Linked DNA regions of Arabidopsis thaliana. The protein of the gene in region 2 purifies or fractionates together with the protein of the main gene of each other region. This does not show direct contact. Each region holds a gene or a part of one and is shown on either strand. Other genes may lie near its edges. The genes, in order: scpl35 and AT2G26380.

Region 1 (6,788 bases), on a different chromosome or scaffold from region 2:
GGTAGATAGAGAAACGGGTCTTGAGAAGATGCTCAACGTTTCTTGGGTCGCAGGTAACAACGCAGTTGAGGGTGCTAAACCAAGGACCTCTAAACCGGAATGTCCCGTTTTGGCTGATAAGAACATCAGACAGCCATTCGTATATGTTGCTTCGTACCGCGGATATCAACGAAGGAAGCATGCCAACCAACGGCCAAACGGGCATCCCTTGGTGTTTCTTCTGGCGCAAGGAATGTATTGTCGCAAACACGAAAAAGGCAATAAAGAGCTCAAGAATCTGAACATCTCTCAGGGAAAACAGCCTCCTTGAAACCAGAAGTTCGTCGCTTCCGAAACAAGAAGAGGACACGGCAGTAGCCGTGAGATTATAAGAAGAAAAACTAAGATTCATAGTGACAAAGAAGGAACAAAGAAACAGAGTGTGTATAATTTTTTTGCAGAGAGAAAGAGAAAGAGAGATAAGAAATAATGAAGTTGTTAGTTAATTTAGTAGGTGAAGAATGTGAAATGAGGGAAGAAGGATTTAAGACGCATAAGTTTCGTGTTTGGCTCTCAATGTGAAATTGGGTTTGATTTGGTGAGCTAAAAAAAGTTCGTTGCTCTTTTCTAACGGTCTTTTAAATTTGTGTGGCTCTTTATTCTCGTGTTTTGCTATGTTTTCGTTTTGGTCTTTTGAAAGGACGAATCTTTTGGAGGGGATTAACTAGAAAATTAGGAAAATTAGAATTAGGGTTTTAGACTTGAGGATTGTTGATAAAAGAGAAATTGACAGGTGGGTAGTGACGGATCACCTAAGTTCTTGTTTATTTGTTATACACTTTATTTTATTTTGTCAAACAACTTGTTTAATTTATACGTGTGGAAATTGGAATTGGAAGAATATTAATAGTGAGTAATTCAAATAAACAGAATTTTTTTGGATACTACTGTACTATTTTAAACCTGGCGGTGAAGCCGTTGTTGTTTGAATTTAGGTTATCTGCATATATCTGGTGAATAATTGTTTTCGAACAATTTGGGCTTAGAAAACATATGGGCCTATCAATAAAGTATCGGGCCTTTGATATATATAAAATTTCATTAACCTCATTATTAATGTATTTTGGGCCTTACAGGCCCTCTGGCCTCTTCTAGGTGACTATAGCATCAATAAATGATTCTCATTAAGCCGCCAATTTCTCTGGCCTCTTCTAGGTGACTATAGCATCAATAAATTATTCCCGAGACAATTGCGAATAAACCACTTTCTTTGGAAATTATCATTGAGATCAACATAAAACATAAGCTTTGTTTATATGACAATGCTGTTGTTTTAAAGCTCTACGGTAGTACTACACATGTAATTTAATGAATTTTAATTGATTTCTAAACAGTACGAGCAATTTGTGTGTTGAATTCAACTTTGATTATATGGTTTATAAAACCTTGTTTTGGGAGATGAAATTCTGAATTAAGAAAAATAAAGAAGAAAGCATTTAATTTGCCGATGGCTCCATCTCCATAGCCATGTGGTTCAGTCTCCGATGATGACATCTCAAGCGTTGAAATTCAATTCCATCTTTCTGTAAAAGGTGAGAAAATTGGTAGTGAACCAACCATGTTATCGGAGACCGTGGAGGCACATTACAAGGAAATGATTATGAAATGTGTTTATTGTTATAACATTTTCACGTGAGTATCAAAAAAAAAATCTCATGAAAAATAAAAGACTTTTAAAGTTTTTTTTAATATAAAAAAAGACAGTATAAAGTAGAAGAAGTGGGGGCGTTTTCTCATCTGCTCTTCATTTCGATAAATAATTGAAAAGAACAAAAGAAACAAAAGAGACGAGAAAGAGTTTTGGCGATGAAGAAGAACGCACTTTGGCTACTGTGCATTCTGGTGTTACCGGCGATAGCCTGTGGTAGGAAACCGGAGAAGAAGGTAACAATTTCATCCTCTGGGAGGAAGGAAGATGACCTTGTAACCGGTTTGCCCGGCCAACCACCGGTTAACTTCAAACACTACGCCGGTTACGTGAATCTGGGGCCTGAACAGAAGCAAAAGGCACTTTTCTATTGGTTCTTCGAAGCTCAACAAAACTCTTCTCGTCGTCCTCTCGTCCTTTGGCTCAATGGAGGTCAGTTTCTCTTCCTCTCTCGCTCATTTACATAAAGTATATTTTATTTGAAGTAGTAATACAAACTTATCATTGTTCTCAATTGGAATTTTCATTCGAAACTTCATTGTTTCTGCGGTTTTACAAATATGTTTACCAATTTTAAAATGATAGCACCTTTTTTGAAACGGATGATGTGATGATTATGTTTGCAATAAAAAAATCAGTGTAATGAAAGATTAATGAACTCTCAAGCTCGTGCCTCGTGGGCCATGGTAATTAGGTTAATACATATGTCTAATCACACCATCACGTATTGACCACAAAACTCTGTGCCTGCAGGCCGTGATGTTGGGAAAATAATAGATAAAACTTGCACGAAAAAGAAAAAGAAAAAACACTAAACATAGAGAAATGTTTTCGGCAGTTGTATTTTCTTGGATACATAATTGAATTTGGACTAAAATTTTAATTATTTATATAGCTAACTCTTAGAAAACATCAAGTTGTGTACATTGTCCTACCAAACTCCATCGTCTGTCTCCTTACCCTGCCTTGTAACTTGCCAAGCAGTTCCTTTCGTTTCAGTAACAATAAAATTTTACTGTAATTGTATCGCAACGAGATAGTAAAGGGTCGTTTCGATGCAGTTGTTTTTGTTTTAAATTTTCCAAAAATTACAAGTCTATCAAATAGCCAAAACTTAAAGTAGTCTATTGTTTGTACAGTTATATATCGCTATTCTTAATAATCTGTAACTTATAGATGCCGTGTATGGCTTGATAAAAATAGCCAGAAACACCATTAAGTGATACACTGATACTATTCAACATTTTTGTTCCTTACTATTGCTTGATGGAGAAGTGATAACAAATCTGATACAGTTGGGAATGCCGACAAATTTTAATTGCCTACTTTAATAATATTTCGTTTTGTGGAACGCACTTCAACAATCTGTAGTCTGTATACGGTGGAACGAGTAGGTTCTTGCCTCTTCGGGACAAATATAGTCCAGTCCTCGTTTTCTTAACGTGAAATCTCAAAACCATAGCTTAAAACAAGTTGTATTTGAAAATGAGCTTCGATCTAATTAAGTGAACAAAAGTTATTCACAAAAATTAAAATTAACCTGTTTAAATACATCATATTTTTTCGTGAAGATTCAGTGAAATAAAACACTATACTATAACCCAACAACATATTTGGAAAAAATATCAACGAAGTCGTATATGGTCCGGCTCTCTGACAGATATTGGACTTGTATCATTCAATCAGTGTCCTTTTTGTGTAACATTCAATGTCCAAATCTTGTTTCTAGAGTGAGTAAAGATCTTTTGTCTGTTTCTTCTTTTTCTCTCGGTAGTTGTACATTCAATTTAACGAATTTACTTTATACGGTTTGTCTTTTTTCCCACACGGTTCATTCCAATATTAGGATATTTAGGGATACGAGAAATATCAACCTAGTCTTTTTTATTGGGGCTAGAAATCGGATAAGATGTTGAATATTCAATTATACACTTAGAAATAAACAAAAAGCTATGTCTAATAATAATGTGGAGTTGTGTACATGTCTAGTTTGAACAGAAAGATTGAAATTTGTTAATAATGAGGTATTACCTTTATAGGATTTGCGTGATTGAAGGGTACACACGAATCCAATGTAATCAAGAGCAATAGCAAAATCTTTAGTTATTTAATTTCTGTATACGAAAATGATATTTGAATCTTGATAGACAACTCGGGACAAAATACTGACGTCTAGCTAGCTAGTCTCATTAATTTTATTTTTTCTCGACAAATTTAGTTGTTTAGTTTTGGATTTTCTTGACAAATCTAGCGATGGAATTGAAAATAGCAATTTTCTTTAGTGAATTGTATTATTACATATTTGGTGAAACTCTTAAATTATTTTCATCAGTTTAACTAAAATCCAAAATATGCAGGACCGGGTTGCTCATCAATAGCCTATGGAGCTGCACAAGAACTAGGCCCTTTTCTTGTTCACGACAACGGTGGCAAACTTACCTACAATCATTTCTCTTGGAACAAAGGTAAAATGAATTATTACCATACTATCAGAAACATTTGAATTCTTTAGCTAACATGTATACTAATATTAACCGTGGTTACATTAAAAAAAATGTTTGTGCAGAGGCCAATATGTTGTTCTTGGAAGCGCCGGTTGGGGTTGGGTTCTCGTATACCAATAACTCAATGGATCTTCAAAAGCTTGGAGATGAAGTTACTGCATCGGACTCTCTTGCTTTCCTGATCAACTGGTTCATGAAATTCCCCGAGTTCCGATCCAGCGAGTTCTACATCTCTGGCGAGAGTTACGCCGGTAAGTGCTTTATCCGATTTTAATTCTTGATTTATGAATTATATCACCTAATATAAAAGAATTAATCTTGTATATTAATATTATATAAAACAAAGATTGAATCACATGCTTTTGATCTTCTTTTCTCAGGTCACTATGTTCCTCAGCTCGCGGAGGTAATTTACGACAGGAACAAGAAGGTTACGAAAGACTCTAGCATTAATCTCAAGGGATTCATGGTATGCACTCTATATATATGTATACTACTAGTAAGGTTACTTGCGAAACGAGGAAGCAACGTTTCTTGTGCTATAAGTAAACATAAAAGGTATTCGTTTGATGTTGCAGATAGGGAACGCGGTGATCAATGAGGCAACAGACATGGCAGGACTAGTGGACTACGCATGGAGCCACGCTATAATATCGGACGAGGTCCACACCAGCATCCATGGCTCGTGCAGTTTTGAGGAAGATACCACCAACAAGACCGAACAATGCTACAACAATTTCAAAGGGTTCATGGATGCTTACAATGATATCGATATATACAGTATCTACACTCCCGTTTGCCTCTCCTCTTTGTTGTCATCTTCTCCAAGAAAACCTAAAATCGTCGTGTCTCCTCGTCTCCTTACTTTTGACGTACGTAATCTACAATACAATATAGTATCATTGTAACATAATGTAATTACCATAATCTCTCTTCTTACTTTTTCTTACCAATTCTTCTCTTTTGATGGTTTAGGATTTGTGGGACAAGTTTCCGGCCGGGTACGATCCATGCACTGAAAGTTATGCCGAGAATTACTTTAACCGGAAAGATGTGCAGGTTGCACTCCATGCGAACGTCACCAACCTTCCTTATCCGTACTCTCCTTGCAGGTTAGTCCTCCTTACGTTACGTGGTACTAACTAAAATTAATAGCTAGCTAGAGACTTTGTATGTTAAGTTTAATGTCATGTTTCTAATGAACAAAGTATATATATATATGATCTTGTGGGTGTGATTCAGCGGAGTAATAAAGAGATGGAGTGATGCTCCATCCACCATGATTCCCATCATACAAAAGCTTTTGACGGGTGGCCTCCGTATCTGGATCTATAGGTATCTATATCTTTCTTTAACTGTTTTAAAAATTACGTGAAAAATTCATATATATTGTCAATTAGTTTAATGTTCACTGGTTCAATGTTGGCTATAGTGGAGATACGGATGGGAGAGTTCCGGTAACATCTACACGTTATAGCATAAAAAAGATGGGACTTAAGGTCGAGTCACCGTGGAGGTCATGGTTCCACAAGAGTCAAGTAGCTGGATGGGTTGAGACTTATGCCGGTGGACTAAATTTTGTCACGGTGAGAGGAGCCGGTCACCAGGTTCCGGCCTTGGCTCCGGCGCAATCTCTCACATTATTCTCTCACTTCATTTCTTCTGTCCCCTTGCCTTCAAAACGGTTCTGATATCAGTACCGTCAAGTCATGATGGCAAGTTGTTGTTGTTGTTTTGGAACCTTCGTTTAGCACTCTCCCAATTGATTTTATGAATTTCAATTGATGAATAAAGATTCTTCAACTTTTAGTTATATAATAAGGCTTTTACCTTTCTACGCACGTTTTTCGTTGTTTAATAATTTCCAGTATTTCAATTTTCAATAATCAACAAATCAGTAGTCTACTTCATTAATTTTGGAACTCAATGAAAATTTTCAAATTAATTTTAATATGAATGAAATAAATTAGGGGGAGACGGCCCTTAAGGCCCATTATAAATTTAGAGGGCCATTAAGGCCCATTAACACAAATTAAACCCAGTCATGGAGCTGAGGCAGTAGCGTTCGTTTTTTTGGAATCAATCACCGAAAGAGATCTTTCAACTGAAGCACCTGCGATTCATCTTCTTCTCTGCCCGTCGTTTCAACGTGAGGAGAAAAAAGAATGGCGTTTGCAAAAATGATGTTTCTTTTCGGAAAATTTCAGCAGGTGAATATATGAAGTTCTTATCTTCTAATCTGACTTATTTTTGAAACTTCCTCTCTGGTACGTGTTTTTTGATGTTGGGTATGAAGAAAGTTCGAGGCTTTTCAAAGGATTTAGTCTTCACTGTAATATGATTCCTGTGACTATATTTTGTAGCTTGTATAGACTTCAGAACATATGTGAGTACTTGAAAATGATTGAATTCTCAATGATTTGCTTTCTGTCCATAAAATGTAATTTGAAGTTGCTCATACGATAATAATAGGCATTGTCAATTTTGATTCAATGGTGAATTTGCTTTTAATTTTCTTTTCAGGGTGTTGGTGTTCTAGCAAAGAGTACCACTTTTGCTAAGAATCCAAGGCAACTGCAATTTGAAGCCGACATTAA
Region 2 (4,199 bases):
GGACAAACGGTTTCACTTTGATAAATGTATTTTAAAACCGAACAATCTAAAAACCACAATAGTATATTTACTTGGTTTGCCTGACGGTTTTTTTTTTCTTTCTTTAAACTAATTAGAAGGATAAGTCCAAGATTGTCATATCCCTTGTTGATGAATATGGTGATGACGCTGAAGTGCCACTGCTAAAAATGTGTGTTGAGTTCGATAACCCTGCTCCAACTACAACATCGGTCTCTGCTTGATTAAATCCAATTGGCTTATGGAAATATGTTTTCAATTCTTCATATGACACTCCCGTATTACTTGCATTTTTTTTTCCCTTTTCGTGTTGTTCAACAAATAAAAGAAATATTGAATTTATAGTTTTATACGACTCTCTCGTTAATTACTAGCATCCTTTTTATATTTCAGTAACTATATAGAAAAAAATTCTAACGCATTTGCTAAAAATAAGCTACAACAACAAATCTCTAGCTATGTTTTTATCGCAAATAAGCTACAACAACATAATAAGCTACATTTGCACATGAATAAACGATGCACGAATCTGTCTCACCTTGTTTTATACGTATAGAGCGCACTTGTTTTCTAGAAACTTTTCCATTATAATTGATTAGTTCAGAAAAAAATTAGAAGATTTGAAGGTGTTGTGTGGCGATATTCATATACCAAAATCAGTAACACAAAATCAGTAAATAAAGGAACTTAAAGAGAATACGAAAATTAAACAAAGACAAAAGAAGAATATGGAACTTGTGACACATGAAGTTCAAAAACAATATAACATGACGATGAATGAATCCATTAACCTTTACAATGACTTAGCGGGGAGCCGCATAGACAGTCGTTGCCGGCAAACACACTTTCTGGAAACTTTGTCACCGGAAGTTTCCCACAAAGATGGTTTTGACTCAAGTTAAGTGTCTTTAATCCGGCCACCCTCGCCGGCACTTTCCCGAACACTAAGTTCCTTGATAGATCAAGCGTCTCGAGCGTCGTCGAGAAACTTAGCTTCCTCAAATCGAATCGGAGTTTGTTCCCCGACATTCGAAACTCCCGTAGTTGCTCTGCTCCCTTCAAGAACCTCAGTGGACTCCCTGAGATCTCGTTGTCCGAAAGATCAATGGAAACGTAGAGATCAGTTTGCCTTGTTTTCCAATCGTCTAAGCTCATCTTGATTCCACATTTAGCCAACTTCAAAGAGCCGAGGATCGACGCTGAGGTCACCCATTCCGGGATTGTTTCCATGTGAAACTTGTTGTACGACAGATCTAGAGTCAAGATGTAATTCTTCACGTTCAAAACAGGGAATGGATTGGTTAGAAGATTGTGAGAGAGATTGATATTAGCAATTTTAGTCAGCTTGGCCAAACTCTTCGGCACGGCTCCAGAGAAACGGTTCTTGGAGAGATCCAGTGTGTCGAGCGCCACGAATCTTGATAAATAGCTCGGTATCGACCCCGAGAGATTGTTCTGACCTAGCTCAAGGAACGCAAGAACCGGCGCGAGCGATGCAATCGACGGAGGGAGCTTCCCGGAGAATCTGTTGCGTGAGAGAGTGAGGATTCGAAGGTTAGTCATTGATTTGAAAATATCCGGGATGGTTCCAGAGAGACGGTTTCCATCGAGATTAAGATTCGAAATGAGCTTGAGATTAGCAATCCCTAACGGTATTGTTCCGGTTAAGAGATTACCGCCAAGATTTAGGTAGTTTAACCGAGTTAAATTGGATATGGAACTCGGGATTGAACCGATGAACCGGTTTCCTTTAACGGTTAATGTATCTAAGCGGTTAAGCGCGCCGATGTTGGCTGGAAGAGGACCAGAGAGACGTGTATTCTCGAGGTAAACATACTTTAGATGTGGTAATCTGAATAAAAATGGTGGAAATGGTCCTGTGATGTTTTTGAGATTGATAAAGACGACCCCTTCCAAATGCTGGAGTTTGGCCAGTGACGGAGAGATTGTGCCAGAGAGAAAGATTCCGGCATCGTCGGACTCTATGCGGATAGTGAGTACGACGACACGGTTGCCGTTAGGGCAACTGACACCGTTCCAAGAGCAGCAATCAGTACCTTTTTTCCAAGTGCTTAGAATACCTGAAGGATCTTTGGTTATACCCGATTTAAAAGCTAATAGACCCGCCTCATCATCAGGATGACACGTGGCTGCTGCGGTGGGGTTTAAACACCGGAGAAAGATCACGGCGGTGAAAATGAAGAAGTTGTGGAAAGAACAAGAGTTCATGGTAGTGAATTTTATTTTTTGTAGTGAGGTTGAGAGAAGCAATTAGCAAACTGATAGCTAATTAGTCTAAAGAGAGATTAGACTCGACACCAATTAATATCAAATAGTCAAAGTTGACCCATTTGGACCAATCCATTTGCGCGTAACGATTAATACAGTGTAAAGATAATTAAATAACAGTATAAAACGTGACAAAAATAAAAACTATATAGCATAATAACTACCAATTATCTTTTGTCAAAAGGTTGTTTTGACAAAAAGGGTCTTTTGACATTATTTAAGATTATTTAGTATTTTATAGGAGGGATGTTTAATATTGACCGTTATAGGTTATAAACTCTGTAGAAAAAAGTATTCTTAGTAGTGACTTTTTGGTAAGATAATCCTTTTAAATGGTACTAATATAATGGGACAACATTTGGCATGTGGGAAAAGAAATATACAAATGAATGCTAAAAGGTACCGCTAGAGCCTAGAAGTTCAATATACAAATGAAAGAATATCAATAAAAGAAACCGAGGATAAAGCAAAAGAGAAAGGAGAGATGAATATTAAAACGCTAATTCATGATGTAGAATGTAGATGATGGCAATGTTCTCACCAAGATTGTCTGCCTTAAAGTCGGAAAAAGGTAGATTCGACGTAAACCCATATTTTGATAAAGGTTTATAAGACCAATATGCCATAGATTTAAAAATGATTCGGGATATATAAAAATGCAGAGAATATGTGTAATCTATTTGCTGAGATTTTCAAGATAAATTGCTCCGGATTGTAGTTCATTTGATAGAAAATGAGGACAATGGTTTCTAGACAAGAACGTACACTATTAGAACTTACACAAAGCAATAAAAAGAAGAAGAAGCAAACTTAGTTTCACCAAACCATAAATATAGACAAAATACAACAAACATATTTCATAATGTTTTCTCCAGCTAAGTAGGAGACACAATGGAAAAGCACACTAAGACCACGGGGTTTCCTACATTATTGCAAACCGAACAACGCTCATCACACGACATAGTTCAATCAATGTTTAGAAGGATCAAGAACTTGACCAATGAACAAAATTACTCCACTATTGTCTTCTCTCACAGTGAACAGAAATGGATGGTCAGCTACAAAATCCGGGTTCCGCATCAAACATTGGGGCATCATGATGGCAACAGAGACCGCTGCAGCTTCGGTTCCCTCTTCATCCACCTCAATGCAAGCTTTATGAATAATGCTTGAGACGTGCAGTTTATCACCGTTCGAAGGCGAATCAACCATCTCAGTTAAATTACCTTTGGAAGTAAATGGAGAAGTAAGCCCCATGTCTTTCAAAACTTCTGAAGCTTTAAACTCAAAAGAGAAGTTCAACTTCGGAATTCTCAAAGCATCGACTGGTGTACGGTGAAGTGGAATATGGCTATCAAGAAATCCTGGTTCAGTGCTTATTTTCTCAAGCAGAGCAGCTAGTCCGTCTTTGTCATTAGGAAGATAAATGTACATGGAGAAATGACGTTTATCCTCTACATAAGGTAGGCGCAAAACTTGGAAACCATCATAGCCTCTTAGATATTGGTCCTTATAACTCATCATGAAGGGGACTTTTACCGTGTTACCGTCAAGAAGATGAAAATCGTTATCTTTTGTTAGTTTTGCATCAAATTTTCTACTCCATGCTGCTTTGAAGTACACTGCATTTGCTAGAATAAGTGTGCTATTACGGATCTCCTTGATAGTATCGGTACAATCGCGTGAAAGAATCTGCTTGATGAGTCCATTTGTGTGGACGTCAGCCCATATATTTACCTCATCAATCACTTCAACAGGCTTCATGACCAAGCGATAAAAATTGACCAATCATTAGTGAAGTTGGATGTCATATATACACAAGAAATTGAAGAAATAAAAAAAGAGAATGTGATATAGCCGTCTCCTTCGTAACCACATTAAACGTCTTAAAT

What was found.
Region 1: the proteins of AT2G26380 (region 2) and scpl35 fractionate together in Arabidopsis thaliana (co-fractionation; one large-scale study listed by BioGRID). This does not show direct contact.

The regions. Positions count from the first base shown.
Region 1 is NC_003076.8:2,655,391-2,662,178, forward strand, and holds scpl35 (serine carboxypeptidase-like 35), read left to right. Parts: upstream 1-1,663; 5' UTR 1,664-1,845; coding exon 1,846-2,119; intron 2,120-4,044; coding exon 4,045-4,152; intron 4,153-4,253; coding exon 4,254-4,442; intron 4,443-4,571; coding exon 4,572-4,660; intron 4,661-4,769; coding exon 4,770-5,063; intron 5,064-5,166; coding exon 5,167-5,303; intron 5,304-5,433; coding exon 5,434-5,526; intron 5,527-5,623; coding exon 5,624-5,882; 3' UTR 5,883-6,047; downstream 6,048-6,788. Other genes in the region: AT5G08250 (Cytochrome P450 superfamily protein), read right to left, coding at 1-391; AT5G08270 (C5orf35), read left to right, coding at 6,357-6,401, 6,715-6,788. UniProt on the Arabidopsis thaliana protein: Probable carboxypeptidase.
Region 2 is NC_003071.7:11,225,811-11,230,009, forward strand, and holds AT2G26380 (Leucine-rich repeat (LRR) family protein), read right to left. Parts: upstream 2,314-4,199; 5' UTR 2,248-2,313; coding exon 805-2,247; 3' UTR 678-804; downstream 1-677. Other genes in the region: AT2G26370 (MD-2-related lipid recognition domain-containing protein), read left to right, coding at 117-242; AT2G26390 (Serine protease inhibitor (SERPIN) family protein), read right to left, coding at 3,277-4,065.